Linked DNA regions of Caenorhabditis elegans. The protein of the gene in region 2 interacts with the protein of the main gene of each other region in a biochemical or structural test. Each region holds a gene or a part of one and is shown on either strand. Other genes may lie near its edges.

Region 1 (16,187 bases), on a different chromosome or scaffold from region 2:
TCTTGGAATGACGTCACTGGTGACCCTACTTGAATTATGATGAGCTGACTTTGAATGAGATACCCGTGTGGTACCGTGTGTTGATTTAGTTGATTGGTTACCCATGTTTTGTGATTTTAAAGTCTCTGGAATGTTAACTTTGTGAAAATTTGAAAGAAAATAGAAAATATTTAAATCTCAAATTGACAATGATGGTGGCGAAAAAGTTGAAGGATGTTATTCTGAAGAGACGAGATACGCCAATGAACAGAGAGATAGAATGCGCGGTTGAGTGAGTGAGAATGGCTCATTTGATGACGTATTTTGACTAGGGTTAGAAGACTACAAAAGGACCATAAAGCGAAAGAAATAAAGAGTGAGAGAGAAAAAGAGATAAAGTCTCCGAATTGAAGAGTGAACGAGTAAAAATATGGAAAATTGGATAGACGTAGAGATATTTACAGAAAAAAAAGAAGAAGTAACCGAGTTGAAAGAACCGGAAAGTGAAGGGTTGCACAATGGATTGAGCAGCAGTGACTACTTTTATAGCTAAGGACTCTAGAATTCAAGAAAATAATGTTTCGGTAGTCACAATGTCTCGAAGCGATATTTCAAATTTGTCATAGCAAGCTCAACCAGCTCAACCCCCCTCATTATAATGTTTTCTCAAAACTTTTGAGAAATTTTTTATGTACACATGTGGTTTTTTTTGGATTTTCCTACAGTTTGGTTTTTTAGTAGAAATGCACTTAACGTACTATAACTTTTTCTCTGTTTCAGGTTTAGGAGTTTGAGCTTCAGCGAATTGTATAATCTAGTAGCTATATAAATTGAACTCCACGCTTCGTTTTAGCTATCACGTATACGTTTGAAAATGTGAGTTTTTGCCATATCTTACGCGCAAAGGTCTCACCACGCGGAAAACGAGTTACTGAAAGAAGTTTATCGGCATGATCTACAGTAAGTCGTTGACCGCGTGGCGAAACCTGGCGAGACCGAAAATGCTCATATTTAAACGTCTGAATAATATGATTTTTGGAAAAATGCATATATTATGGGGTTTCGCTAATAGATTTTGTGTTCTAGAACCGCTTGGGAAGTTTGAAAAACGCTAAACCCCTGTTGGTAAGTCTTTTGGCAAGGGGTTTTATAGCTCAAAACTTGTTATCCTTTTTATATTATTAGGACACCTGATCAGTACACTAAACCTTTTCAAGTAGGAATCGGTAACTTTCTTCGCTGTCAATGCACCGTTAAAGAAAAGAAAAATAATAAAACCTTCCTCGACTTGTGAGCTTAAACTTAATAGGATCTTGTGCAAAAACACTTCAGCTCGGATAGTAAAAAATGTCAAAAACAAATAGCATCACAAGATGGCACTTGTCAAAAAAGTATACCCCGAACAATATCACATGATGAACTTCGCAAATCGGAAATTTCCAATTGTAAGCGTCGTTTCCGAATAAAGACGACGAGACACTGCAAGCGAATTTCCGATTTTCCGTAGACTAGACAAGACGAGTCAGGGCAGATAAAAACCCGAAATCTTCAGACATTTGCAGAGTTTGAAAAGGAGGTGAAGCTACTAGTAAATTGGAATTAAACGGAGCAGAAACAGACAACGAAGACTACGTCGTCGTCACAACGATGGCGATGAAAGGAGATGCAGCAGGGAATGGAGAAAAAGAAGACGTAACACCACACTAAACAACGACACACACACACAAGACCGACGGGCCTATTTTATTTATCCTGAAAGACATAGGGCGGGCAAAAGAACGACTTTTTTGAAAGAGAAGACGAGAGGACCCTTTCGAGTAATTGAGCAGACAAGAGGAGCAGCAGGAGCCTGTCTGTTTTTCGGAAATTATCAAGCCTTGAAAGTGAGCGTAAGGAGAGAAGAAGATTAGGTGGGGGAAATGTGCAGGCCAACGAGTTAATTTCGCCTCTTTTTTCTGTGAGAGAAGGTTTTCTCTAGGGTGATATCAATATACATCTGAGCTCGATTGGTTGGTTTCTTTTATATTAGGGATGGCGGGGAAAGAAATCTTCTAGATCAAATAAAAACTAAATAATTTAAATATGAGTCACAATTGGCTTTGGATGTTTGAGGTGGCCTTTTTTAGTCCGAATTTAATTTAACTCGTTGAACTCAAATATAGAAAACCAGGCCAAAATTGTTGCAGAGTTATTTTGAATTAAAAAAATAGTTTACGAGGTGGATAAATCTAACTTATCATGTTTGAAAGTAAGCTAAAAGTTAAAAAGGTGTGCTCTGGAAAACCTTGAAGTAATCACAGTTAATTTTTGGTGTGCCCATCAGGAACCTCGCAACATTGGACAATATAAGCATTGAACACTACCTTGAGAGTGAATGAGATTTATGTCAACTTTGTTTTCTATCGAAAATTGGAGTTTGGAAAAATTCGGCTTATCTTGCAGCTTGGAGAAGTGCCGAGAAAGTGCATAAACTTAAATAGTATTTTTTAATAATTTTCCAAAATTTCTCGCAAGCGCTAATTTTCCTAGTATCAACAACTACGATAATCAAAAAAATGCCCAGGAAGATATTTCTGTTTTTTTTCAGTATTTGACCTTAAAATAAGCTCTAGGTTCACATTTATTTGTGGTCTAAGTAAAAAAAAAACGACAGGCCTGATTTTCACACAGTATCCCCACAAAAAGACCACTCTTGTTAGAGCAAACGAAAAATTTCAAAACATGAAATTTCGAGCAACATGAGAGGTGCTATGCTATTTTGAGAAGATATGATCATTAAAGATGCTGGTAGTGAAAATATTTGATGAGAATATATGTAAATTTATTCTCTATCTAATGCACGTTCTCACGATAAAACCAAGTACATAGTGCGTAATTTATCAAACAACGAGTTTCGGGGTATCTTTCTTGGTTATTTGGGTTTAATCTGTATTTGAAAATTGCACAACAATAATGGAACTCGAATGTTGGCAATTTACCAAACCTTTGACTGGAAATTTAAAAATCTACAATTTGTTAGGTGTCTTTTTATAAGCTTTGGTCATTTTGAAAAAATTAAAGTGTACATCACAGTTAAGCCAATCATTTTGCTGAAAATACTAGTGAAAACTGGAAGAACAAGGTTCTGCTGAAAAAAATGTGTGAAATTACAAAACCACATGACCCATTCATATAGTAAATCCTGAGTACACAGCCGTCTGATATGTCTCAACTAATCCGTTTCACTAATCTTCGGGTCCGAATCAGACTTCTAGTTGATGAAAAAAGAAATGAGATTGAAAGCCTCGAGACGAGAAAAGGTGCTCCTCCTCATCCAGCTCCTGTCGCTTGAATTATGCTTATGTGAGCTCTCACGGAAGTCGTTATTTGATGAGAGGGAGAGAGGATGAACGAATTTGGAGCAAAAAAAAAGAGAAAAGGAGAGTGTTGGAGACCGAGAAGCACGCAATGAATTTCCGTATATCACCTTTGATAGATTTGTGTGTCTTTTTGACTCATTTGATGCTACAAAAGTGAATGTATCGTATTTGATGGACAGGATACTGGCCAGAAAATGAGAAAAAAATTGAAGAACAATTGGATTTTTCTTTTTTCATGACGGTAAACAAAAACAAAAGGAATTTTCTATTAAAAAAAGTGAGGGTTTTCCAGAGATATTTATTTACTGGATCTTTGGTAAAAACTCGCTTTAAATTGCCAAGTTAGAATCGTTTTAGTACGAATGTGTGAGTTTCAGCTAAGATGGGGAACAATCTTTAATTTTTAAAAAATATTTATTTAAAATATTTTTGAAATTAACTAGTTGGAAACTTTTTTGGAAAGAAGAATCAAGCTTAGCTTTGGAGATGATAGAGATATTGGTACTAGTCCTAAATCACCCCGCCACTTTTTTTCTTTTTTTTTCAAATAAAAACGTGTGGAGTTTTTGTATTTTTAGGCTTAGGAAATAACCATTTCTAAGCCTAAAGATGGAAAATGGACATCACGTTTTATTAAAATGGATAATATTAAAATGAGGGGAAATAATACACAAATAAAAAAAAAAGTGGCGGGGTGATTCAGGACTAGTACCGAGATTTTTTAAAATTAATTCAACTATGTGCATCTTCAAAAAATTGTCAAAAAGAATACCTACCGTGGCGTCCTTCGCCTGGTAAGTAGGCAGGCATGATGATGTCACGGAGGCATGGAAAGTGCCTGCCACGATATTATTGCGTACGTTTTTAACATTTCTACTTTTTGGCGAGAGCCTTTACTGAGAAACCTTACATTTTATCATTTTACATGCTTGAAAAAATGCCAAAATATCGCCTACATTAGACTTTCATTTTGAATTTGCATGAAGCATGACCAGTTGTTAGGAGCAACTGATGGTAACCAGAATAGAGAAAAAGGTACTCTCCGTGACTTTTCAATGATATTTTTATATCAGAGCCAAATCATACAAGTGGTATCACAAATCAAAATCTGTTTGGATAAGTTTTGATGTCACTTGACTACTCCCCTGTCTAACTGTTGTTGAAGTGGCGTGTAACTTGAAAGCATATCCGACACACAAAAAGGACAAGACAAGATACACTTTTCTCATTCGTGCAACAATCTAGCAAAGATGACAAATATCGAAATGTGGATTTGCAAAATGGTACAATGTATGTTGATTAAAGATCTATTACAGTGAAAGAGCAAAGTACATGGAAAGTGTCGACTGGCGAGAGGGATGGTTTACGAACAAAAAACAACACATTCCTCGCTCTATTTATATACAAATAGTTCTCAGTTTCTTGAGTGCCCTCCCACGAGATCACTGGATCTCACTGATCTTTTTGAAAACAGTTTCTCACATATCTATGGCACTCTATGCATTAGTCATTGAGAAAGAGAAATAGACGGTCATTACGCGTGACGTTTAGCTCTTGTTTCTTGTTGAAACAGTAATACAGTCTTTGTTAAATTGGTATTTGTAAACAGAGGAGAGTTCAAAAATTTCCTATAATGATGAAATAATAATAATAATAATTTATTACGCTCGCTGGGAGACGTGAAGGAATACAGAATACAAAAGTTATCATTGTTCGCTTGAACTAGAATTGGTGCAGTCGGGCAATCGTTTCCATTCCATTAGAATGTTGTTCTTGTCCTTGCGTTGTCCTTGCGTAGACTCCCCCATAGTGGGCGAGCGATTCCCGAGTGAAATGATCTAACATCACAGTTTTTCTACACGTTTTTTGTTTCAATTACAATTTTCTTTTACGCATTTGAGTATCAGATTTAAACGCGCCTCGCAATTTCTTAAATAAAAGTTACAATTTATTTCTTTAAAAATTTGAAAAACCTAAATATTATTGGAGTGGGTTTCATATTTTTAAAAGGAGAAAAAATATTTTTAAAAAATTAAATCATAAATTCATGTCACCATAATAAAAAATATTTTTCGACGCTTTGAATACTTCAGCGAAATAATCTCTTGAATTAAGCTTTGTGATATTTATTTTTGTCGATGTAGTACATACTCCACAATTTGTCGGCTACCCCTAACTAAGCATATACCGTTTTCCACATTAGCCTTGCTCCCCCTTTCCTCTACGTTAACCGCTTTTATCCCGGTTTTTTAAAAGTGTTATCAGAAAATTGTCAACTCCAGCAACGTCAGGACTTGTTTGGAGTTTGTGTGCCTACTACAGTTTTCTAATCATTTTTCCACTGCTATACACCACTACACCTCAAATTGCAAACATTACGAAATTCCGCCCAATGTTTGGTTGTCATTTCTTTCGAAACGTCGGTCGCTTGCTAATCGTTGGGTATATAAGCAACGTTGACTACTAAAGTTTTCACTTCGGTCCGGAGATTATGGGTTATCAATTTGACAATTTCCTGCCAGCAGGAAGCCCTGGTACCAGGGTTTGGTACCGCTCATGTTAATCTCTCCGTGTTCTTCATAGAATACAAACCCCTTCCCATAATCACCAACTTGACCGTTGTTTTTTGTTAATTTTTTGAATATCAGGGTAAATGTTTTTCAAGTCTTATTGAATAAATATCATGAATCTTTGCAATTATAATTTTTCTCGAAACGTTTTTCCAATTTAATCGGGTTCACATTTTTATAATTAAAAAAAAATGTTATTATGCGAATAGCTAACAAAAATAGAAAAGCAGTGTTTAATTAGAACTTGATACATATAAATAAATGAGAACTTGTAAACTTTTGGAATTTTGCGAAGAAGTGTAAAGCTTGATGACGGAGTACAATGTCGAGCAACAATCAATACATAACGGATCGTTCCATTCTTCGAGATTCGGACATCTGAAATTGAAGTTTTCTTTTTCTTGTAACAAGCAGAATTCAAAAATAAACCCTTTATTTACAACAACACGATTTTTCAGCTTGTTATAATTATGTTTTTTTTTTTGCTTGAAAAGAAAATTCGAAGCAGACAATATAAAGCTTTACCAAAAAGTTGGTGGGGGCGGACAAGGAAACATTCAATTATTCAACCCTATTATTTATGAACAAGATTTTGTGAATGAGGGGATGGGGCAGAAAGAAAAATCAATCAAAAAAAAAAGAATCATGCACAACACAACGAAAGAAGAAAAAAGCAAGTTTTCGTAGATCTGAGACAAAATTTCAGAATTTGGAACTTGAATCAACGAGCACTTATTAATACAAGAACGATAAGCGGTTTTCAGTCAGTGCTGCAAAGAGATGCTCTTAAGAGTTGAATCCGAGTGCATTCATTAGTTTATTCTTCAATCCAGTTTGAGATGTGCTCGTTGTCATCGAGTTTCTGGATCCACCGATTGTAGAAGCCATCATCGACTGGCTCATTTCATCGATTCCGCCCATCGCTCCACTTCGTAATGGCTCATGCTGAAAGAGGAAACAATACTGAAAAGAGGAAACGAGTGACCAAATTCTAAAGCACATCACTATCACTAAAATACAAAAATAAGCGTTTTATGTGTTTTTTTTTGTTACTGGAATTGTTATTGATGGGGGCTTGGGGAGGACAAGAATATGCTTCGTATTAAATTTAAACTTTAATTTTAAAAAACAATTCGTTTGAATGAGCTTCAGATTTGTGCAATATTTCAGTATTTGCCAATTTTGGTTCAAAAGTTGGCAAGACATTGTTCAGGCAGCATCTAATTTTCGGGTTAGTTTGAAACATAGTTTTGGTCAAAATTTTATTGTCGAATTTTTGATGTGTGCGGCAATTTTCGAAATTTACCGTGTCCGGCAAGTTCGGCAACCGGCAAATTCGGCAAATTTGACGCACTCCCCTGGTTTGAAACAACTGTTGTCAATGTTTTAAGTTCCAAAAATACATGTAAATATGAAGCAAATTCTTGTCACTGGGGTATCGGGGACGCATACAACATTTTACAACATTAATATCTAACTTCTAAATTTTTTTTCTGAACTTTTGTATTTTAAATGCAGTAAAGCGTGCTAGATAGAGAAGCCATGAATGCAGAAAAAACATCATTACATACCTGTTTCTTTGCTCTCAAGGCGACATCTTCCAATGTTTCGGCGGCTTCATATTTTCCTTGTCGCCGGTAAAGGGCTCCAAGGTTCTTGAGAGTTGTTGTGACGGTTGGACTGGAATCAGTTTTGTTTAATTTATTTTTTTCTAATAAAAATCATAATACCTATCAACTTTGGCGGCTTTTGCCCATCCAGCTTGTTCGTTGGCAGTTGCACCTTCTCCCTTGTGCTTGTTCTCCTCTCGTTCTTCAGCGATTTGCCAAATTGGTTTATTCTCTCCACTGATCTGTCCGAACTCTCTTTCATGAGCTCTGGTGAGAATTTGCTTGTACAACTCCTCAGCCTCCTTATATTTTCCTTGTTTCAAGTAAGCAGATGACAAATTGTTCTTGGTCTTTGCCACATTCGGGTCATCAGGTCCAAGTTTGCTCTCGTAGATTTCGAGAGCTCTCTTGTAATACTTCTCGACTTCTTCATACTTTCCTTGATTTTGGCAAAGAAGAGCAAGATTATTGAGTTGCTTGGCCACATCTGGATGATCATCTCCAAGAACTTTCTCGCGAATTTCAAGAGCACGCTTGCAAAGCGGTTCAGCATCCTTGAACTTTCCACGTTTTCCGAACAAAACTGCGAGATTGTTGAGAGTGGCGGCAACAGCTGGATGACTTTCTCCAAGACATTTCTCACGAATACTGAGAGCCTCATTCAGAAGATTTGCAGCCTCTTTGTACTTGTTCTGATCTCTGTAGACAAGTGCCAAAATATTGAGCATTGTGGCAACATCTGGATGATCGTGACCACTCGTTTTCTCCAAATCTTCCAAAGCTTGCTTGCACAATGGAACTGCAACTTCATAACGACCTTGGGAGGCGTATTGAATGACCAAGTTGTGAAGTGTGCGAAGACGAGCTGGAATTTCGTATCCAACATTAGCAGAAGCCGCCATTTGGTTGGCTGGTGTTGGTTGGTTGAATTGACTAGCATTCATATCTTCTTCGTCTTCTGGTCCAAAACCAAGTTCTTGAAGAGTTTCGTTTGTGACTGGTTGTGGTCCAACATCGACAGATGTCTTAGTATCACTTTGCTGAAAACAAACAAAATAAGTTAAGAATGCTCCTCGAAAAATTCAACTTACAGTTCCATCATCAAATTGTTTGATTGATGCCATATACTTAAGATGCTTGTTCTCCTCTTCCAATTGAGCAACCATTTGCTCCGACTGTTGAAGTTTGATTTGAGTTGAACTCAACTCATCACGAAGCCACGCATTCTCCTGGCACAAGCGTCTCCGTTGAGCTTGGTATTTCTGATGTTGAGCATCCATTCCTTGAGTGAGTTGGAATACCATCAGCATCAACGATGTCTCATCAACTCCGCACACCAACTTATCCAAATTATCGTTAATTTGTGAAAGCTTCTGCTTCGGCAATGGAGCTTCATCTTCTTTCACACCTAAATGATTGAATTTTAGTAAATGTTCAACTCGTCGTAAAAAAAGCCATACCTTTGACACTAGTCTCCAAAGTATTCGAAATTGTCGAGTGTTCCTCACGAAGAGCTTCAAGTCCCTGCTGAACGGTACGTAGGCCCGTCGTCACGTCGTCCTGCGACATGTTTGACATTTTCGCCAGCGACTCGATTTTTCGCCTGAAATTTTAAATCTATTAAATGTAATTGGAAGAAGTTCGAGAAGTGTTGGTAGCTAACGAGAAAATTTTTTCAGTGAGTAAAAACAGTTGAATCTATGTAGATCATAGCTATTAGGTCGTTCAATAAGTTTTGCGATAGTCTTTTTTTTTAATTTCAGATTTATCAGAAAAAATTAACCCTTTTTTTCTTTTAAATGTAAATAATGCCAAAGTATGGCACAACAAAAATTAATTAAAATCTTGCATTCTCTCAAAAACGTAGAACTAGATTCAAAAAATATTTTTCCATGAATACTGCTCACTTTGGAATTCTAAAAAATGCAAAAATTTGAAAATCAGCCTGACAGTTTTATACCATAGATCTATTTGGTGCAAGAATTTGGAAAATCTATTATTTAGGTAAATATTATCCAGTTTCAATTTTATGGCTGAAGTTAAAAAAAACGCCAAAATGAGCTCTCAAAGATTGAGGAGGGCGTCTTAAATAACAGCCCTGCCATTTGCTATTGAAATACAGGAGATCGTGGCGAGACCCCCTGAGAAAATACGCATGTGCCTTTAAAATGACATTCCACATTTTCACAAAATAACGATAAACTTATTTTACACCGAAACGTTGCTTTGAAATAAGTTGAAATAAAGCAAAAATGTTCCAAATGTTCAACACGTTTTAGAGAAAATAAAAATCATCGTGGATTGATATTTTCTTTTAAAAATTTGTAATTTTTATTTACTCGGTTTTTGAAATTTTTAATTTGAAAAAATCAAGGCTGCACTATGCGCTATAATTTTTGAAAATCAATAGCATTTCGTGGTAGAACTAATATATTTCTTTGATTTTGCTAGGTTGAGTTGCACTAGAACAATTTTGGAAAAACTTTTAGAAAACTGAGAAACTTTTTGGAATATGTCAAAGATAAGCTAAATATGTGCAACACTATAGGTACAAATTTCGCAATATAAGCAGAAATGAAACCAAATTTTAACTTTCTAATAATTTCTCTCCTGCAAAAGCTCATAAGAAATGGTTCTGAACATAAAGATGCTAATAAAGTGTGGACAAGTAAAACATAACGTTGTTCGGAAAGAGTGTTTGGTTGTATTAACCGAAAGCCCGCTCTCGTCGTGTCGGCGAATAGACAGCGAGACGTGCGCAGCCACTGATGAGAGATCATAGAAATATTAGAGACAACATAGAAACTATTGATCGTCCGTCCAACATGGAGGAAATGAGAGAGCAAGAGACGGAGGCGAGAAAGAATTGCGAAACAATTGGAAAGATGCATCCTTTCATAGTTAATTGCAATGTTTGGACACCTGAGTTTTTATGAAGAATACATCTAGGATTTGTTTAGCTTCATATGCAAAAAAGTATCGAAATTGCTTTGTTTCTCAAGAGAAAGGTGGGATTTCAGAAAATATAAAAACCAAAAAATAAAACATATTAACATAAACTTCTCATGAATTATTAGAATTTGGGCAAAGAGTTTTGATTCATATATTCACTATTTCTGAAAACTTGTCATAAGATCTTGCAATTTTGAATTAGAGGACTAGGAAAGTAGATTTCGATTTTTATTTTTATTTTACGGTAGATGCAAATTGAAATTTTTTGAAAATTAGGGTATCCGCTTAGAATGTACTGTACATTTTTTGTTACAGCCCTAGCGGAAATAACTTTCAAACATTTTTTGATGAGTAATGCATGTGATAAGAAAATGATTCAACACTCTAAATTCCAATTCTCATTTCAAATTAAAAATATAACTTACTGGCGATATGCCTGAATAGTAGAACCGGCCAAATTCATGATGGTATCCAGCTTGAAAGCTTCCACGAGCACTTTTTCGTATTCGGCTCCAGGATTAGTGTCTTAAACTTTTCAGTTTAGATTTATGATGAACAGAAGAAGGAGTTAAAGAGTTTGAAAAGTTCAGGAAATAGCATTTTATTACGAGGTGCATGTATAAAGCATATATATTTCTACCAAAAAATCAAAGTTTAGGCCTGTTTGTTATAGTTAAAAACGGTTATTTATCTCTAGTGTCAAATATCGAACAATATTTTGGTTCAGCATGTATTACGTAGACGTCTGTAAATGATAATTTTCGCCATATCTTACGCGCAAGGTCTCACCACGCGGGCAAGGAGTTACTGTAGCTCGTGTCGATTTATGAGCCACTATTGCATAATACAGTTATACTCGCTGTTCTCGTGGCGAAACCCTCGACAGAAATGCCCATTTATAAACATCTACATAATAAGGGCATATTAAATTGTTTTTGGGAATCAGAAATTTTCTATTTGGCTCAAATTTGCCCGTGAAGTATGCTCGTAAAGTAAGACCAGCAATTTTGTGAAATTTGGAACTTGTTGTGATCACTATAGCTGAGATCGTGTCGAGACCCACTCAGAAAAAGATCGTGTGCCTTTAAAGCGGGGTTTGACTGTTCACGAAAAAATAATAGACGTCTAAAGAAAACAATTTCCGGCATACTGTGCAACTTACTGTAGCTCGTGCTTCTATTGCACCATGTTTTGAATAAATTTAAATATAATAAAAGAAAAATAAAATGTATTTTTTTAGACGTCTAAGTAAAAATGAATAATATTTTCCATTGAATTGAAATTTTTATGAGTAAATCAGCCTATAAGTCGACCGAACAAGCTTATTTGCAGTTAAAAAAAATTTATTTTCCAAAATTAAATTGACTATTTTTAAATAAACACTTGAACTTTTAAATTTACAGGATATATTTTCTTCAGAAAAACAATTTCAAGGATAAAAAAATCATTTCCACGAATCAATGTGTGCACTCGGTGCAAAAGTGTTCGAAAACTTGGTCTAAAAGTGAAGAAAAAGTGCTGAATAGACCTCGCCTCCTGCCGAAAAGAACATTGTGTGCTGGTGCTGGTGGCGGCAGTGCTTGAAGTGAGGAAACGCACGCCACACAGAGCCGCATGGCCCTCCGATGCCATTGGCTCGATACAAATTCATTTAAGGGCGCTCTTCTTTTCTCTCTTCGCTTGTCAGACAAATGGCACAAGGAATGAAAGAAGAATTGGTGGAAGAAACGAGAGAATTCTATTCAGTTCATTCAGAAGCGGCACACACAATGGTGTCGGGCATTGATTGTGGTTCGCTTGGGAAACATTTTTGGTTTTGCTCGTGATCATAATAAGCAAAACCGCTTGTTAGAAAAACAACTTCCAGTAGATCCGTAAATCCTACTTCCCTTTTTTACCTATTTGTGGATTTTTAAATGAAGAAAAATGTATAAAAATTGTCAAGAGCTCCAATCGAAAAACAAAAAAAGGCAGAAGTGGGTCGAAGAAAAGAGTTGACTGCGACAAAGAAGATTTCAATCTCAATTCGACGAAATTTGAAACTCTTCTCTCTTGCATCACACACACTCCTCCCCTTCTTCTTCTTTTGCTCCCCTTTCTTCGCTGATTTACAATTTGAGTGATGTAGTAGTGTATGGAACACTGAAGAGAAGAACTATGGAATAATGCCGTGGAGCAGCTCGCCGGGGAATAGCGGAAGACGGCGGGTGCGTGGTGTACTACGGCGCAGACATCCATCATTAATGGACAGAAGGCATGGACGCGAATGACGAGAAGTGCTTCCTTTAATGTTCTTTCTGCAACATATACATGACTGTTGAACGGAAAAAGGAAATTAATATGTAATCAATCTTTTGGAGCAGGAAAATAATTTAATTCGGGAACGAGAGGGAGATTAACCGGCGATAAATTATACGGGTCACATAAAAAAGAAATGGAGACGAAAGTAATTCACATGGTCTGTGATTCAAATTAGAATCTACATTTGCATTGGTTCGGCGCCACCTGGAGCTGCTGCTGCTGCTGCTCCGCCAGTTGTGCGTGGATGTGTGGAAACTTGGTTGAGATGAACGGCGACTTGAGCATCTTCGAGAAGACTGAATGGAGAATCTTTCCCGACAATTCCAATAGACGTATTCTGAGCGTTGAGGTTTTCTTCGGCTGGAAGTGTGTCGCGAAGAGCAAGGAGAGCATGGACAATCAATTGTTCCGGAGTTGCTGAAAAAAGAAATTGCTCAATTTTATCAATTATATTCCGAAATAAATACATTTCTCGAAGTTATCAACATTTCTCTCGAGGTAAGTGCGCGCAGACTGAGATCTTGCTCCGATTGAAGTTCCATGCATGCTGACGACTTCAGCAGATGGGTCAGTTTGAATGATGTGTGCTCCATCTTTCTGAACAAAAAAATATTTAAAAGAACAATTATATTTATGATGTTCTTACGTCATATCCGGCAATCAGAATTCCAACTCCGAATGGACGACGGCCATAATATTGTGTATTGGCTTGAAGTTCTGAAATAAGAACAATGTCTTGAGAAAATTGCTTCCAAAATTCGCTTACTCAATTGCATAGATTCAGCGAGCTTCTTGATTGGAACCGCTTGCTTGTAATCCCAACGCCAACTCGAGCACTCGGTTTGGAGGTAGCGAGCCAAGATGCGACCATCGGAGAGGAGACCAGCGATGGAAACTCCAGCGTGAGTGTCAATTTCGTACACTTTCTTCTGATGAGACGACAAATCGTTTTGCGCTCTCTGAAACGAATATAATTAATTGAAATTAACATGTTGTTTCGCCAACCTTCAGGGCGACGATGACAGCGTGGGTTTCACTCTTGATTCCAACAGTTGCCGAACCTTGCTTCATCGCCTCAACGGCATATTCGACTTGGTGAAGACGTCCCTGTGGGCTCCAGACTGTTACATCGCCGTCGTATTGGTTGCGGAACATGGTTCAAACCTAAAAGCTCTTAATTACAATTTATTGAAGTTTTTAGCCATTTTTTGCAGTTTTATAAGCAGAGAGTGTGATTCAAGATGAACCAAGAGTTAGAAAAACATATGGAGTTTATTTAAATCCACAGAAACAAAGAAAAAATATTTAGAAGTCGAAAGAAAACCTCTGAAATGAGTTCTAAATTTGAAAGGATGACAAAATAAGCGAGTACGCATACACCACACTTTACGCGCAATTGCTTACCGTATACCTGGCGGCAAAAAGTGAAAGAAATTTCCAGGCATGGAATTCCATGGAATTATGTAATTCTTCTGGTGAAAACTGCGTAAGATCCTCAAAATAATTTCGAAAAAAAGACACTCAAAATCCACGAAGAGAACTGTGAACAAGTAAATATTACACGAAATTGAACGAAAATTGCGAAAACGTGATTGAAAACGTCGAATTAAATTTTGAATCTAATTTTTGAGGAATTGAATATTTAAAATTTAAAATGTTGTCTACTGATGGTGGTGGCCGATTCCCTGACTTCAATATCTTAGAAATTCCTGTTTAAATCTGGCAAGGCTATACTACAAAGCTCTGTCTTTGAAAATCTCTAGTTTCATTTTTCAATCATGTCTATTGAATAATAAATATCTTTCCTCTCATTCACTTTTCTTACCCACTGACCCACTTTCTCTTGTGACTCTCGACAGTGAAACACCGTACCTAATTAGGCAATTTACCAGTAGTTCATATTCATTCTCGGGAGTACGCAATACCACACGCTCATTGAACTTTGAGAAAGGCGATTTGAAATCGAAATTTATATGTTTTCAAACTATTTTCTTCATGAAGTATGGTACTTAATATATATGTCTTGATATTGCTACTTTATGGTTTGAGTGAGTTTTTAAAAAGTTTTGGATTTGAAATCTTTTTTTCTACCAAATTTTTTCTGTCCTTTTTTATTTAAAAAATCATGAAAATTTGTTAATGGTCGCTCTTGAGGTTATTCAAAATTTAAAATTTAATTTTTGGGATTTTAGAAAAATCGCTCATTTTGTAGGGCTTTTTCTATATTGAAAATTGGAACACGGATTAGAACCATTTTGCGTCTAAAATGTAAAAATGCAAAGTGCGGCACAGAAAAATAGGTGTGGTTTAGAGACAAAAGCGCGGTAATTCAAATCAAAAGTTTAGCTAGATATGACCTTCAAATTAATTCAGATACCAGTTTTGCTTGTCACTCCCTGAGCTCTCAGTACAGTCAATTTTCATCTCGAAGAGCCAGAGCTCGCGGAGTCTCATCCCTACAACGTACAAGTGAAAATGCAATTGACTTTGACTACCTCACATCAAATCTACCGTACTCCGCAACTGAAATTCGTTCGATCTCATCTCTTACCCCATTTCCTGTGAAACCAATGCTAACTGTATCCGACGGTGGAAAGCTTACATGTCATTTTGACGATGATATGGAATATTGTGGATGGCATAATGCAGCGGACACTGACATGAAGTTTTTTTTTTCAATTTTAATAGAATTTCAAAAATTACTATTTTTAGATTCTGGAAATCAAAGTTAAACTCAGATAATAATTTTGACTCGCAAAGATTTGACTCTGGAAGTCCATTGAGTTTCACACCAGGTAAGAGGAACAAATTGTTTCTAAAAATCAATTGAAACATTCCAAAAAGATTGAAAAATTTGAAAATTTCAGCAAAAGTTTTGGTTGATGTTAGTTTGAAAATTCTGTATTTAAAAAAAATCCTAACGCTCATATGATGCCAAAATGGCCAAATATCATAGTAAAACGTTCCAAAAAATTTTTTAGATTTTTTCATTGACATGCAAAAAGTGGCAATCACTTAGATTTTGCCACTTTTTGAGAAAACTATATCGCTGTCGCATGTCCGAACCCCTACAATGTTTGAATAGGAGTATTTTTAATTGGCTCATTTTCCTATTTTCAAAAAATCATTTAAACATTAAAAAAAAAATTTATTATTAACTTTTTAATTGGGTAAAAGTACCAGTTGATTTCAACTAATCATAACAATTCAGACAACAATTTTCTACTGGCTGGCGGCGAACCAATGATTCTTCCACAGACTGCTGCAATTGAAATGGAAATTCCATGTCAATATGGAGATGCTGAAGTGAAATTCGAGTAGGTCTTCGAGTTCACAGCTACGTTGTAAAATCTCGGATCTTTTAATTTAATTTAATTTAATCTTGATAAAGTTAACTTTTAACTAATTCATCTGAA
Region 2 (16,187 bases):
AGGTCAGCTAATGGAAGACTCCGCTTGTTCAGGTATTAATCAATTTTTGGTCTACCTAGATTTGCAGTGAAGATGGTCGAAACACGTGCATTAGTATCAGAAATCCTTTTATGCTCCTTTAAAGAGTACTGTAATTTCAAACTTTGCTGTGAAATTTTCATCAATTTTTAAAATAGTTTTTCTAAATTTATATGTTGTATCAGGTTGTCCCATAAGTTTTTGTACTTTTTTTCAAATATTTTTCCAAAACTTCTAGAAAGTTTTAAAATTTTTTCATCGTAGGTCGTGTCAAGGTCGGGTCGTCCCCTTTCAGAAAAGATTCATTTCATCCATTTCTACTTTGCCACGATGACAATCATCAAACTTGAACGTCGAGACGTTAGATTGCTTCTTCTTTATGAATTTCGTCTTGGTCATTCAGCAATGGAAGCGGAACGAAACATATGCGGTGCGATGGGTGAGGGAGCACTCTCTTATAATACAGCAAAGAGTTGGTTTCAAAAGTTCAAGAACGGCGACTTCAGTCTCGAAGAAATAGAACGTTCTGGGCGACCGGTAGAGTTAAATGAAGAAGACCTAGTGAAGCTGGTGGAGGAAGAGCCTCGTCTTAGTCTTCGTGAAATGGAAGAGAAGCTTGAGTGTTGTCATAGCACAATTGCACGTCACTTGGGTCGCCTTGGTTTTACTTCAAAACTTGGAATTTGGGTGCCTCATGAACTTTCGGCATCACAGAAGCTCACTCGGGTCAACGTTTGTACTCAACTTCTAACTTTTCGTCGAAAGTTCGATTGGCTGAACAATCTGGTTACTGGAGATGAGAAGTGGGTGCTCTATGTTAACCATTCCAGAAAACGTCAATGGCTTCCGATCGGTGAGAAAGGAATACCGACGCCAAAGCCTGATCTTCACCCAAAAAAGATTATGATCTGTGTCTGGTGGGGTGTTCAAGGACCCGTGCACTGGGAATTGTTGCCAACTAATAAAACTATCACTGCTGATTACTATTGTGCCCAATTGGACCGAGTTGCAGAAAAGACCAACGGAAAATATGAAAAACTATATTTTCTTCACGATAATGCTAGGCCTCATGTCGCCAAGAAGACTTTCCAAAAGCTGCAAGATCTTGGTTGGACTGTTTTACCGCATCCACCATATTCTCCAGATCTTGCACCAACCGACTACCATTTGTTCTTGTCTCTCAGTGACTACATGCGCGACAAGCAATTCGACGACGAAGAGCATCTCAAAACTGAACTCTCCACTTTCTTCTCATCGCGTTCGCCGGATTTCTTCTCCCGTGGCATCATGATGTTACCTAGTAAATGGCAACAAGTGGTGGACACTAATGGTGAATACTTGTGTGAATAGTACTACTTGTCGCTTGAGAGAAATAAATTTTTTTCAAAAAAAAAATAGTACAAAAACTTATGGGACAACCTGATAGTTTTCTATATACTTTTTTTAAAAAATTAAATAAAAATAATAAATATATTTTCAACAAAAAGAAATTATTAATGGCCGATGAAAACTCCTCATCAATCAATTTTTAAAACTACAGTACCCTTTAAAGGCGCACACCAGTTTTTATTTAACAAAAACTGCCGCGTTGAGACGAGGTGCTACAAAATGTGGGTAATATCTTCCTATTTTGGGATTCTGAATATTTGTTTCACATTAACACAGTCACAAAGTCTTCCAGTGTGATAATAAGCCTTTTCCCTGCCAATCTCTGATTTTCTCTTTTATTACACAACCTCATCATGACCCCGCCCCCTTCTTTCATTTTCATCACTCGCGTGCGCCAGTCGTTTTGCTTTCAATTGCCTCCCTCTGCTGCCTAAATCTGACACACTTGTTTAGTTTATTGCCCTTATATATATATACATTCATTCATCACATTAAATTCTCATTTTCAGATCATTTGATGATCGCACAACTGCAAAAGTCGCTGATTCAACAGAATTCGACGTTTGAAAAGAAGAACAATGTAGAGGTGGCTCCGATTGCGAAGATCAGTCTCAAGGATCGTCTTGCTTCGTTGAATAATGTGAGTATTTCTACTTATTACATTTCTGCCAAGCAGCCTCTAATAAATGCCGAGTGTGGCGACTCCGCCCCTTTTTCGCGTTTTTTGACGCTTTTTTTGGCTTGCGAAAAAATGTCCCACTTCGTTTTCATTCACAACTCCTGAACCGTGTAACTTCATGCTCTAATATTTGAAATCCTACTAGAAATATTTTGCCCCACAGTGGAGCAGAAAACGGCACTAAGTTCGGAGCAAAATTGAGCCCAGGACGGCTTTCCCCAGTTTGAAAAATTTTTTTGTTGCTCTTTTTACCCCCAAAAAACCATGTTTTAATTGAATTAAAATTCGGGTTTTGCTCGGTTTTGTTCCAAATTTCTGTGCAAGATACTACTCAGAGAGACTGATTTTTTGAAAAAAAGTTTGAGTTTATAAGTGCAAATGGAAAAAAGTTGTGATAAAACAAAAGTCCAAAAAGTGACATTTTGCCAAAAAAATTTTTTTTCGTAAAAAGCCGTTTTTCGTCTTTATCTCAAGTTCTACTTTATCTTTTTTGATATTTTTTTGCTTACCCCGAGTAAAAAAGTACGCTGAACACGATTTTTAACTCAGAGTTGAGAAAAGTTCTATGAGTCGGCCGAGCAAGACGAATAAGTGCAAAATTTTGCACACTTTCCCATTTTTGCGAATCTACTTTTTCAATCATAACTCGGTCAGTTTTCAAGTTTTCTTAGTTTTCTAAAAAATGCGTAGGTCTCATCAAGACGCATCGAGACATATAAAATTTGTAAAAAGTTCAGTGGGAAAATTTTTCAAGAAAAAAATAATTCAAAAATTTTGTACTGGGGGGAGTGGTTTCCTGGGTCCCCTGAACATTTTTTCCACTAAAGTTTCGCGGAATATATTTTTAATTCATAGTTTTTGATTTTATCTAATGGAAGATGAAGTTTCGTGGCGTTAGCAATGCTCTGCCAAGAGATATTATTTTTTTTAATTTTCAGGCCAAAACTTGTTTTCTTCTATACATCTGTCTGTGTACAAGATATAGCCCTCAACTGTACGTCTCCTTTTCGGGAATTCAATAATGAGTACAATCCTGTAATAAAATTTTCAAAAATTAGGTTTCCCGCTGGCTTATCAGTGATAAACGGTTTTCGAACGTCTTTCCCTAAATAGTCATATTTGAAGAAAGCGGAATCGAAAGACGACTTCCTCCAGAAAATTTTCTTCCCTACATCCCAGTTTGAGATGTCTTCCGCATGGCCGAGTGGTTAGTGCGTATGATTGCAGAAATTTTGGTAGTTGGTTCAATTCTACCAAGTGACAAATTTTTTTGTTTTTTGTGAGTAATCGGGATTCGAATAGAAATACTCAATTTTATACAAAATATGGGTACGTCTCCCCTAATATAAAGCCTCCTCAAACTTCAATCAATCAAAACTCAGCTTTAACTGATTCATCGGGTGCGTCTGTTTTTGGTCAAACCGAACTCAAAAAACAAGAAGACTCCCATTGACCTACTGAAATTTTGACGAACCCTCTAACAGGTTCGAGGCGAAGCCGAGAGCCTACGCCCGGCAAGGGGACTCGCCTTACACCCCCTACAACTGGCGGGCCCGCAGGGCCCGCTAGTCGTTGAAATTTAGAAATTAGATCCTACGGTTTTTGCCGAAAAACTCGGAAAAATTATCTTAAAATTTACAAAAAAAAAGAATTATCAAATTTTAATGAATTTTCTGAAAAAAAGAAGAATAAATATGTTTTTTAGATTGGTGAGTTTTTAGAGAAAGACTTTTTAAAAAAGTTTTAGATCACTTTTAATAATTTTTTTTTTAATTTAAAAAACCGAAAAACGGAAATTATTGAAAATTTGTAATTTTTTCAGGAAATCGGAAAATCAAAAGTCGGAAAAAAATAGAAAATTTCAAATTCTCCGATTTTTTGAAAAAAAAACTATCACAAAACAGAAATTTTGACCAAAAACACAAAACAATCGAATTTCTCAAAACGATGGTAATGCTTCACTAAAAATAAAAAAATAAAAATAAATATTGAAGAATATTTTTGGAAAAATTAGAAATCCTATTTGGCAAATAATTTTCGCGCCGAAAAAGTACAAAAAATATTATTTTTACCAACGTCTCTTTCATCTTCAAATTCCAACATTTTCAGAGCGCCGAGCAATGGAAATCCCGTCCAGAACGCCAGCCAGCTGTGCAGCAACGACGAACCAGTGCGAACGTTCTTCAGGATCTTCCGATCTTCCAGCGTGCTCAGCAGTTACATCAGCAACAACAACGGCCACAATCATTTCCAGTTGTGCAGGAGAAACGTGAGATTCACAAGCACATACTCATTGAAATTGATAATTTTCAGCATGCGACATCACTAGTGGGCTCAAGAAGTTCTTCGGAAGCAATCCAACTACATCCGGAGCATCTTCTTCATTACCGAAAATTTCTGAAATTACTGCTTCGAATGATATTGACTTGGATGCGATATCTTCAAAAGCAACACCAGTGTTAGTGTATCAAAAAAAATGTTTTAAACTTTAATATACTGGATTTTTTCAGCTTAAAAACAGTGACTCGACCTCGTGCTCCAAATCGAAAGAAATCCGACAAATCATCGACATTCGATGAAAGAATCCGTTTGGACGCTGTCAAAATCGACGAAGAAGCATTTGCAGTTGTAGAGGAAGAACCTGAGAAGCTGGAGACTCAGGAGCAGGCAATTGCAGCAATTCAGGGAGCAAAACAACTTTTGAAAAGCCCAACAAAAGTGTCTCCGTATCCAGATGTAATGTTAATTCAAGTTCGAGGATCGAAGAATGTCGATGTGAGACTTGTAGCACCCGCGATGTCTTCTGTTCATGAAGTTGCATGTTTTGTGGTTGTACATCAGAAGCATCTCATGAAGTATGAAGGATTGTACAGTAATATTCTGGAGAAAACTAAAGCATCACAATTGTGCATTGAAATTCTTGGAAAATCAGATTTGAATTGCACTGCAGAATCGATTGTAACAGTGACAGGAGCTAGTAGAAGTACCCTGTCGAAGCTCTTGTTTTGCTCTGAAAATTCTGAATCCTCAAGTGAGAATAATAATTATCATCAAGCATCATCAGTGGAGCCATTCGAAACAACAGTTGCCAAATTGAATTTAGTACTTCGAATCGCCGGCGATAACACTGCTGAAACATGTTCACGTCGGGAACGGCTCTCCTATGAAATCATGAAACCAAGTGAAGTGCTCATTTTTGATTTTGGAAGTGAAATCTACGTTTGGACGGGTAGATATTCGAATAAAGTTAGCTCAGCTTACGCTCAAGAATATGCGAAACAACTTATGAAGAAGCCTGTTAAAAATGGGAAATTTATTCTAGGAGATGCAGAATCTATTGATCAAGATGGACGACCAGAATGGACGCTTTCAAGAAAAATTCATCAGGGAGTTCTGGTGAGTGTCTAAAATTTCTGAAAAAAAAAAACATTCCTATTAATTTCAGGACACTCTGTTCAAAGCAAAATTCTCGGATTGGCCTGAAACTCGTGAAGTCTTGACAACTTGTAAACCTAGAGCCTTGATCTCGAAGAAGAATCCGGAAGTGAAGACGTATGAAGATGTGAAGGTCGTGAATCAAGATGATGAAGTGGCTGATCTTGTGGAACGAATGCTCCAGGAGCAAGAATTGGATCCAATTTTAGTTCTAGAAGATCAAGAGATTGATAGAAAAATTCATGATGTAATCAGCGAGGATCGATCACTTTGGGTGCTCCGAGGAGAAGTTCTGCAGAGTATCGAAGAATTTACGGAGCATTTTGATTCAAGACGATGCTATGTTCTTCGTTGGAAATACAGAATTCAAAAGTCAGGAGTACGGAGGATTAAAACGGGAAAAGAAGAAGAACGGGAAACTGGTAGATCAAGAATCGCATTCTGGTATTGGCTCGGCGAGCACACAACTCCAAAACAACATGGTCTTTGTGCTCTACGAATTAAGGAAATTGATAGAGATAATAGTCCAAGAATCCGAATTGCTGATGGAAATGAGCCTGCGTTATTCTTGGCACTTTTCGATGGAAAATTCATGGTTAGCAGTGATATTTCGGAGATGAAGCCGCTCCGACGATACGTGGTTATTGGCGCGAACTCCCGGGAAACTAGTCTTCGAGAAATTGATGATTTGAATTCGCCGCTTCGATCTCATGCTGCTTATATTGAAGTGGAAAAAGACATTCTTGGCCCATCAAGTGTAGTGTGTGGAGCAAATTGCACTGAAGACCAAGTGCATTTTGTGTTGGCACACGCTGAATATATGAGGCAGAAGGCAGGAGTGAAGGGAAATTCTGCAGAAATTGAGGTAGAAGGTGATAAAAAGTCGCGGAGCTGGGTGAATTCAAATGGAAGAAAACGGGCGATGCGAGTTTGGAGATTATTTGATAATGAGTCGGAGCAAGTAAATCATTTGAGTGGGCATAAGAATTGTGCATTCACTTTTTCACAACAGGTTTGTGAATTTCAATCTATTTTCAAATTCTGCGATTTTTGACTAAAAATACGGTACACGGTCTCGACACGACGCTGAATACAGAAGGGTATGCGCCTTTAAAGAGTACTGTAGTTTCAAATTTTTGTTGCTACGAAATTTTTTAAATCGATTTTTCATAGTTTTTTCTCAATTTGGAAAAATCAATTTTTTTAATTGTTAAAACATGTTTTTATTGAACAACTTTTAAAAGAAATCGATGAAAATTCCGCAGCAACAAAAGTTTAATTTTACAGTACTCTTTAAACGCGCACATTTTTTGCAGCTAACTAAAATGTATCGTGTCGAGACCGGGTACCGTATTTTTGGCGAAAAATTTAGCTTCTGGGTTATATTCGTTTTTTTAGCGAATTTTGTCGTTTTCGCTTCATTTTTCAGATTAATTTTTTGAACTCAACTTTCAAAAAATTTTCCATTTAAAAAAGTTGAAATGTGGTTTGAAAACTGATTTGAATCAATTTTATCACACAAATGAAACGAAAGCGACAAAATTCGCTGAAAAAATGAAGACATTTATTTAAAACTGCAAAGAAAAAAACTACCATAAACTTTTTCTCGCGTCGAGACGCATTCAAACAAATTCGTGCGCCTTTAAGAAGGCATGCCAAAATCTGGTCAAATTACGATATTGATTTGTGATTTTTCAGGTCCTGAAAGAAACCATTCTAATTGATGTTGGAGACGCTCTTTGGTTATGGTCAGAAGAAGTTATTACTACATTTGCACTGAAAGTCGCTGAAAAATACTGGAAAGATCGCAGCGGACCAGCAAAAGTTGTGTACAAAGGAGCAGAACCTGAGCAGTTTAAAGGACTTTTTATGAAATGGGAGATGTTCGAAGTTGAAGATGACAAGCCCTCGGATCCACCACGCGATGTTTCGGATCTTCTCAAAGAACGTTGTAGAACATTTTCACTCGAAGAACTGAAAGAACGAACAAGTCTTCCAGCTGGAATGGACATGAGACGTCTGGAGAGCTACTTGACTGACGACGATTTTATGAAAGTTTTTAAAATTGAAAGAAGCGAATTTTATGCTCAAAAAACTTGGAAACAGAACGATGCACGGAAAAGAGTTGGACTATTCTGAACATATTTTTTATTTATATTGACTCACTAGAGGCGGTGAAACCGTCATTACTGTATTATCACCTTGCCATTTTATCTCCTGTATAGATTGCCTGATAAATAAAAGCGTGTAATGTTTAACTGGATTTCGATTACTACATACTAAACAGATAATATAGCATGAAGAGCAATATCTGAATAGAAAAAAGAAACTTTAAAGTAAATGTAATGCATGATTCAGTGAATAAATATGGAAAAATTGCTATGGAGCATTCGTAAGTGTACAACTTCGGCTTATCCAAATCCATTTTCCGCTTCTTTCTGACCTACAACAGTGACGCCTTCAAAATAAAATTTAAAGTGATAATCGTCTTTATTTTTGACGAGAATAAAATATATTGCAATAAAACTATAGTACATGTGATCACTTGTGAATAATAATATTTGACATGGAATTATAAACTTAAGACGAGCGGGATGGGTGAGTATTTTACAAGTTAATCAATATAAATTTATATTATTTACAGCATGCATTCGTCGAAACTTCCGACATCGGATTCCAAATGCGGCTGCCAATCCGAATCCTCGAAGTCGGCGGATACGTCGTGGTCACTTTCCCGGCTCACACGATCAGTGTCGATTTCCGGGCCATTCGGACATTCGCTGCAGATCTCGTCGATGCTCTTTTTGATGCTCTGGATGCGCTCTCGAAGTTGCCTAGCGAGTCCTTGTTCTGGCCCATTCTGGTTGGCAAGTGCACGCTGAATGGCATTTTCCACACGATCCAATCCCAGAATGGCGCTCCTCGCATCATCAGAAACATTGGCTTGATCTAGGTTGATGGTCGAACTGCTTGGTTCAGATGACATTTCCTCTGACGAATGAACGACATATGTGTTGCAAAGGGGATTCTGAGTTGATTGTTCGGGCTTTCCGTGGTCTTGCTCAGCGTCTTCCGAGTCGACATAGGCCAGCTGGTAGAAATCTCTGTTCAATGATTTGCACAGAATTTCATTAGTTTCCTCTCGACTCTAAAAAAATAAGATTTTAGTTCAATAAAATTATATACTCAAGAAATTTACCTTGTTCAACGTTGTCATAATTACAGCATTATCAAGTAGAATCGATGAAGTGTTGTTGAAGACTGCAGCTGGCACAGCGACTGTGTTGGAGTCACAATATCTCAATGGAACCAAGCTGTACTCGTCGTCACTTCCGTCCTCATTGATTGCAGGATTCTTCGGCGTGCTGGTGTAAAGTGGTGTGAACGGCTGTAAAACAACAAAATTAGCATAAAGTTGTTAAAATAAATATTCTCACCCGTGGCTGACGATCTTCCGGAGTGTTATCCAATTCGAATCGGACTGCTTTCAACACACGAGGAGGGAGTTTGAATCCTTTCGATGGATGTGGAGTGTATTTATGATCCTCAGGAAGCTCATCTTGTGCTGGAGTAGTTCGATGCTTCCAATACGAAATCTCGTCGTCATCCCACCAAAACTCGTCGTTTTTCATTGACGACACAGACTCGCGAGTCTTTTTTTCAACAAACTTCTCCATTCCGTCGACGTCGTTGTTCCGGAAGCACTTCATTATTTCATCGACAGTTTCTTTGTCCTGTTTCTTCTTCAAGTCCTTCTCAGTCTGACGCCATACAAACCAGCTGAATGGCCGGAAGAACGAGACGCCTTGTACGTCAGAAGTGTGTGGAGATGCCATAGAATGCCAGGAGCTCGATAATGAAGTCGATTTCATTGTTCGAAATGATGAATCGGAAGTGCTCTGCCCTGAGCAGTAGGACAGAGCATCTTCTCCGATCATCACTCCGGCGTCTTGTCGAACCATTTGGAATCGAACGGCTGCAAGAGAAAATATAATTGGGAAAAAAGGAAGGAAAAGTGGAAAAAGGAAATTGAATAAATAAATTTTCGAAAAAATTAAGTTTAAGCTTCGAAAATTAATCCTAAAAAAGAGAAAAATGTGATTCAAAAAGGCTAAAAGTGAAATGAGAATACGAAAATACGAAAATACGCGCCTTTCATTGCACAGGTCTCGGCGCGACTTTACCTCCGGAAAATTTGGCACATGCGTCTTTAAAAGAGTACTGTAGTTTCCTTCAATATTTGCGACAATGAAAAATCGATTTAAAATCGAAAATCTTCCCAATTTGTTTTAAAAAATTATAAGAAATTACATGAGCTCAGAACATTTTTCTTTGGTATTTTTTCATTTCTAGTTGAAATCCAGTTAAGTTGCTAAAATTTAATCCCGTATTTTGTTGATTTTCCAGTAATTTATTTCTAGAAATAAATCAAATGTGTTTTAAACTCTGAAATTTCAACAGAAAAAACAAATAATCATGCGAGTATTCGAAGAATCGCATAAACTCCGAAACTTTAATTTTTTTAAGTTCATTGCCCGAGAGGAGAACACGGCCGAGAATCTGAAAAATCATTTGCACGCGGAATTCAAATTAGATCCTCAGGAAGCTCATCTTGTGCTGGAGTAGTTCGATGCTTCCAATACGAAATCTCGTCGTCATCCCACCAAAACTCGTCGTTTTTCATTGACGACACAGACTCGCGAGTCTTTTTTTCAACAAACTTCTCCATTCCGTCGACGTCGTTGTTCCGGAAGCACTTCATTATTTCATCGACAGTTTCTTTGTCCTGTTTCTTCTTCAAGTCCTTCTCAGTCTGACGCCATACAAACCAGCTGAATGGCCGGAAGAACGAGACGCCTTGTACGTCAGAAGTGTGTGGAGATGCCATAGAATGCCAGGAGCTCGATAATGAAGTCGATTTCATTGTTCGAAATGATGAATCGGAAGTGCTCTGCCCTGAGCAGTAGGACAGAGCATCTTCTCCGATCATCACTCCGGCGTCTTGTCGAACCATTTGGAATCGAACGGCTGCAAGAGAAAATATAATTGGGAAAAAAGGAAGGAAAAGTGGAAAAAGGAAATTGAATAAATAAATTTTCGAAAAAATTAAGTTTAAGCTTCGAAAATTAATCCTAAAAAAGAGAAAAATGTGATTCAAAAAGGCTAAAAGTGAAATGAGAATACGAAAATACGAAAATACGCGCCTTTCATTGCACAGGTCTCGGCGCGACTTTACCTCCGGAAAATTTGGCACATGCGTCTTTAAAAGAGTACTGTAGTTTCCTTCAATATTTGCGACAATGAAAAATCGATTTAAAATCGAAAATCTTCCCAATTTGTTTTAAAAAATTATAAGAAATTACATGAGCTCAGAACATTTTTCTTTGGTATTTTTTCATTTCTAGTTGAAATCCAGTTAAGTTGCTAAAATTTAATCCCGTATTTTGTTGATTTTCCAGTAATTTATTTCTAGAAATAAATCAAATGTGTTTTAAACTCTGAAATTTCAACAGAAAAAACAAATAATCATGCGAGTATTCGAAGAATCGCATAAACTCCGAAACTTTAATTTTTTTAAGTTCATTGCCCGAGAGGAGAACACGGCCGAGAATCTGAAAAATCATTTGCACGCGGAATTCAAATTAGATCGAGGAAAAGAGTAGTATTTGGAACTTTGTACATCATAACATCTTTCTGGGAGACTTTTGTGATGTTTCCCTTATGCACATTGCCTTGTTAGATCATATAAAAAGCTTTTGAGCAGAGTCTCAAATATTACTACATCACCTTTACATTTTGGAACCTTTAATTTTTCAATGGAAGTTTGTCTTCTCAACAAATAAGACAACAGAAGAACACATAAAACTTTATTGATAATGAAATGTCTAGTTCCAATCACTTGTTTCTCTTCGATGCCTTTGCTTTCTTATGTGTACTCATTTTGGATCCGAGTTTCGATTGTGCAGTTTTTGCATCTCCACTATTAGCTCCACCACTTCCTGGCTGTTTCGGCTTACCAAGCATCTTGTTCTTGACTTTTGCATTCTTCTGAAATGCAATATTGAAAATTAAAATTAAATTTTCCTATTCCCAAGTACCTGCTTCTTATTATCATCCGTCTTCTCTTCCCGTGCCTTCTTGAGTGGTACGTCCTTGGCGAAGAAGTCCACCAACTCTGCCATGATCAAATTATTGCCACCAGGAACTCCGGCTCTCCCGAATGACGCCAAAAGATACTTCTGAATGGTGGATTCATCATCCATGCGGGATAACTCCTTTGGGCGAGCTGAAAATTTATTTTTTTTTAAATATTTTGAAAATTATTTATTAGACACTACAAACTTACCAGTTTCTCCCAATTCAGCAACCAAAGCATTGATTCTGGCAACATCGTATTTCATGGGTCCCGACAATTTTCCATTGATCTCCGTCAACTTGGCATAGAGAATGTCGTAGATCTTCATGTAATCCGGACGATCAGCATATTGCACAGAATTGAGATATTCAACAAGTGGAAGGAATGAGCTAAGAAATGAATCTTTTGAAAGATATTCATTCAAATGATCTTCTTTCAAAGCTTCAATCCGTTCTGGAATATTCGAGGATGTCCATGGAAGTGGTGCATACATCTCCATTAACATGAAGAACCATGACCAAAGATCATCAACACGAGAAAGTTCCTTTCGTTTGTGCATGTTCAGAGAACAATATCTCACTGTCCCACGGAACTGCGCCTGAAATTTTTAAATGTTAAAACTCGAAAAAATCTTCCATGAAAAACTAACCGGATTTCTCGGACGTCGCAATTGCCATTTATTACCGGAATCCTTCGTCGCATATTTTCTAGCCATTCCATAATCAAACAAATAAACATGAAGAGAATTTGGGTTGAAATCAACGGCGAAATTACATGGCTTTAGATCACGATGAATATAGGTGTATTCGTGCATTGTTTTGATAGCAAGAAGAGTTCGAATGCATACACGGATGATGGTATCTTGATTGAAATTATTGTTCATCTGGAATTAATGAGTTAAAGATTCAGCGTTGATCTCTGAACTTTCTAATTTATACATCTCATGAGTTAAAGTCATTTTTCTTTTCTTCAGTCAAATTATAAGTATAGGTCTAGGAAGCTCTAGGAATTAGATCTAGGAAGATTAGAGAAGCTCCACAACTAAAATCTTACCAATTCGGCAATTTTCTGCAGATCCGGACCACACAATGTCATTACAATGTATCTATAATCCTTGTAAATGCCATCGTCATAGATATGAATTGCAGTTGGCTCGTGTTGCATTGCCACCATGATCTCTCTTTCAATCTTCAGTAAATTGTCTCCGGCAGTCATTCTCTCAATCTAAAAATTGTTCTTATTTTCATATCTGCTCTCTGCTCTTCTAAAACATACCTTGAGTGCAGCTTCTTGTTTTGTGGACTTGTTTGAAACATGGTACACAGTACCAAATGCACCTCTACCCAACTCGCGAATTGTGAGCCACGCAAGTTTCCCGCTCTTTTCCTCTACAACCTCCTGAAAAACATTTTCGTAACAATTTTGAAACTACTCGTAAGTCCTTAAATAAACTTAGGTTGGCCTTAAAAGCTCGGCCACCAACTTTTTCGCGGCCCCAGTCGCCACATGGTGTGACGTCACTCATATCGTGGAAGGCCATTTTGCCTTCAGAAAACACGCGCACCTTAAAGTCAGGATAATTCGAGAATACCGTACCTCACCAATATTCAACCGAATACTTTCCACTTGTCTATCCGGTTTATCGTCTTCTTCACTCATGACAACAGCTTCTTATCGATTTTAACTGCTTGGAATTTCAAAATTATGAACTAAACTTCAGAAATGACGATTTTCGAGTAGAGAAAAACACGAGATTTTTGAATTGCCCTTTTCGAACAAAAATTAAAAAATTGATTTTAAAAATTAGAGCACGTGAAATTCTTTTTTTTTTTCATAAATTTTAATGAATCAGCACTCAATTTGAAACTTCCACGCAAGCAAAAACATACCTAAATACCTACTTGCCTACAAAATACCTATTTCACTGTGCAGCAGGCAAAGATCAAGGTCTGCTCTACGATTTTCCACTTAGAAAACTAACGCCTTTTTTATTTCAATAAATTATTTTATTCGACTCCCAACTTCAAATAATGGCTAAATTTGAAAATATTCTCGACCAAAAAATCGACTAGGTCTGCCAGCTTTCGCAATACCGTACCCAATTAAATGCAGACGCGCCCCAATGCACAGCGCGTAATATTGAATTTTAATTTTTGCCCGCCAATTCTCACGTGTATTCAGCTCGACCAACGCCTCGAAAATTTTCAAAAAAGACGGGAAAAAATATTTGAATTCCCCAAGAGGAATTTCAGAGACCCGAAGAACTCGGGGGATGTCCAATTGGGGGGATTACCAACTAGGGGGATTGGCCCCGCCCACAGAACCGTGCCTTACAATACGCCCATTTCTGCAACCTCCGCACGGTTTTGAATGATGATTTTCTTCATTGTTTTTTGGGGGAGAAAAATCAATTTCGACTCTAAAAACTTCAATTTGAATTGTTTTTTTCGGTTTTTGAGTCGTTTTCGCGGAATAAAAGTAAAATATTTCAAAAAAATCGATTTTTCGCAGTGAAACAACAATTTACACGGAAAGGGGACGCGTAAAAATCGATTATTTGTTTTTTCGTGTTTTTTTATGTTTTTTTATGTTTTTTCGTCGTTTTTTCTTGTTTTCTTCGTTAATAATTGAATTTAAAATAATATTTTCAGTAAAAGGACTTAAATCGCCGCAAAAATCGACCGCGTGAGCCGCGAAACGGCGGAAAACGTCTAAAAGTGAGTTGTTTTACTAAATATTGTAAGGATCTTCTGGTTCCCACCTCTCCAATATAAGAGCATTACTTCAGTCTAGTTTTCCAGGTCCAGCAAGTGCCGTCGTAGCGAATGCATGTCTGCATTCGGTATGGAGAAAAACATGTTTGTTCGATAATATATGGAGAAAAACATGTTTGTTCGGAATTAGAAAGATTTGAGACTCAAGCTCGCGTATTTCATATTTATTTTTTCGATTTTAGCGAAAACTCAACACATTTTCGATCATTTTTGAACAAAAAAATTGTTTTCTGAAAAATTTGACGCTTAATTTTTTTGAAACTGCACTCAAATATGAAGAAAAGCATGATTAACCAGAAAAAGTAACATTTGAGACCCAAGCTCGCGTATTTCATATTTATTTTTTCGATTTTAGCGAAAAATCAACACTTTTTCGATCATTTTTGAACAAAAAATTGTTTTCTCAAAAATTTGACGCTTATTTTTTTTGAAACTGCACTCAAATATAAAGAAAAACATGCTTGTTCTGAATTAGTAAGAATTGCGACTCAAGCTCGCGTATCTCATATTTATTTGTTCGATTTCAGTGGAAAATCGACACATTTTTGGGAAAATTTTTTTTTTTCGAAATATTCGCTCCTAATTTTTAATGATTTCCAGATGACACGCCGGTTCACACCACATTCTACTGAGGAGATCGCTTCAAATAACCGAAACCATCCCGACATTGGCTCCATCGAACCCCGAGTGACCCTGGAACTCGTCGAAATTGAAGAAGGAATCGATGAGGGAGAAGTTCTCTATAGCATACTACGAAGACTCTAGACGAACTGTTAAGACTGAGAGTTTATATGGACAAGAAGAAGCACTTAAAGAAGCACCGTGTGTAGGAAAGCGAAAAACGGGTTATTCGAAGACGTACGATTGTCAAGGGGCAACAGGATGCTGAGGAGACAGAGGTGAAGGAAATTCGAGAGAATGCTACTCGTAAGCAAGGTGCTACTACTGGACAAGTTGAAGAAGTTGAAAATCAGACGGAGAAGGATAGAGAGATTGTGATGAATCGGGAGAGGTACAGATTTCAATAATTTAATGCTTCTAATTTGATATATTTTCAGAAATCTGAAGCGTGCCAACGAGGAATGGGGAACAACTGAAGCCTCGAAGCGTCCAAGATATGAGGATAGTCGTGGTGTTTTCCGAGGTGGATTCAGAGGAAGAAGAGAAGCTCGTGGTGGCTTCCGTAGAAGTGACGACCGAGGAGGATTCAGAGGACGTGACGGAGGTGGTGGCTTCCGTGGTGGGCAAGGTGGAGATTGAGGCGGTTTCCGTGGTCGTCGTCAATTCTAATATCAGTTGTTGTTTTGCAATTTATTGGTTTTCTGCGTTCTCCATTTTTATTATTATGTTCGTTTTTGTTATTGTTATAATCATGAATATATCAGACTGTTTAACCCGAATTCAGAACTAGGAATTTAGCAGAAAATCGCAGGAAAAATTTGGGACTTAATAATTATTGCGTTTTGCGTTAAAATATCACATTTGCACGTAAATTGTGACACTTGCGGTTTGGCGGCACGGCTCTCTATATTATTCATTCATTTTATCAACAAACTTCTATCGCCCTAACGTCGATCAAAAAAGCTCATCAGCAACTGCCGTCGAGTGGAGACCCGAAGAACTCGGGGGATGTCCAACTGGGGGATTCCCAACTCGGGGGATTGGCCACGCCCACAGAACCGTGCCTTACAATACGCCCATTTCTGCAACCTCCGCACGGTTTTGAATGATGATTTTTTTCATCGTTTTTTGGGGG

The links.
Region 1: the proteins of kca-1 (region 2) and klc-2 form a complex in vitro, tested with the Caenorhabditis elegans proteins (one study listed by BioGRID).

Annotation. Positions count from the first base shown.
Region 1 is NC_003283.11:5,570,409-5,586,595, forward strand, and holds klc-2 (Kinesin light chain), read right to left. Parts: upstream 9,097-16,187; coding exon 8,979-9,096; intron 8,927-8,978; coding exon 8,610-8,926; intron 8,559-8,609; coding exon 7,639-8,558; intron 7,589-7,638; coding exon 7,480-7,588; intron 6,854-7,479; coding exon 6,695-6,853; 3' UTR 6,329-6,694; downstream 1-6,328. Other genes in the region: glb-6 (Globin-like protein 6), read right to left, coding at 1-105; pas-6 (Proteasome subunit alpha type-1), read right to left, coding at 12,950-13,188, 13,239-13,368, 13,418-13,488, 13,538-13,730, 13,777-13,926; CD4.11 (MAM domain-containing protein), read left to right, coding at 14,774-14,819, 15,145-15,436, 15,484-15,566, 15,983-16,088. UniProt on the Caenorhabditis elegans protein: Kinesin is a microtubule-associated force-producing protein that may play a role in organelle transport. The light chain may function in coupling of cargo to the heavy chain or in the modulation of its ATPase activity.
Region 2 is NC_003279.8:4,751,825-4,768,011, forward strand, and holds kca-1 (Kinesin Cargo Adaptor), read right to left. Parts: upstream 9,498-16,187; 5' UTR 9,484-9,497; coding exon 8,959-9,483; intron 8,910-8,958; coding exon 8,721-8,909; intron 8,670-8,720; coding exon 8,160-8,669; 3' UTR 7,996-8,159; downstream 1-7,995. Other genes in the region: viln-1 (HP domain-containing protein), read left to right, coding at 1,925-2,047, 4,196-4,355, 4,400-4,544, 4,597-5,482, 5,532-6,533, 7,220-7,660; kin-35 (Protein kinase domain-containing protein), read right to left, coding at 11,417-11,569, 11,620-11,807, 11,868-12,255, 12,307-12,540, 12,711-12,881, 12,933-13,055, 13,254-13,316.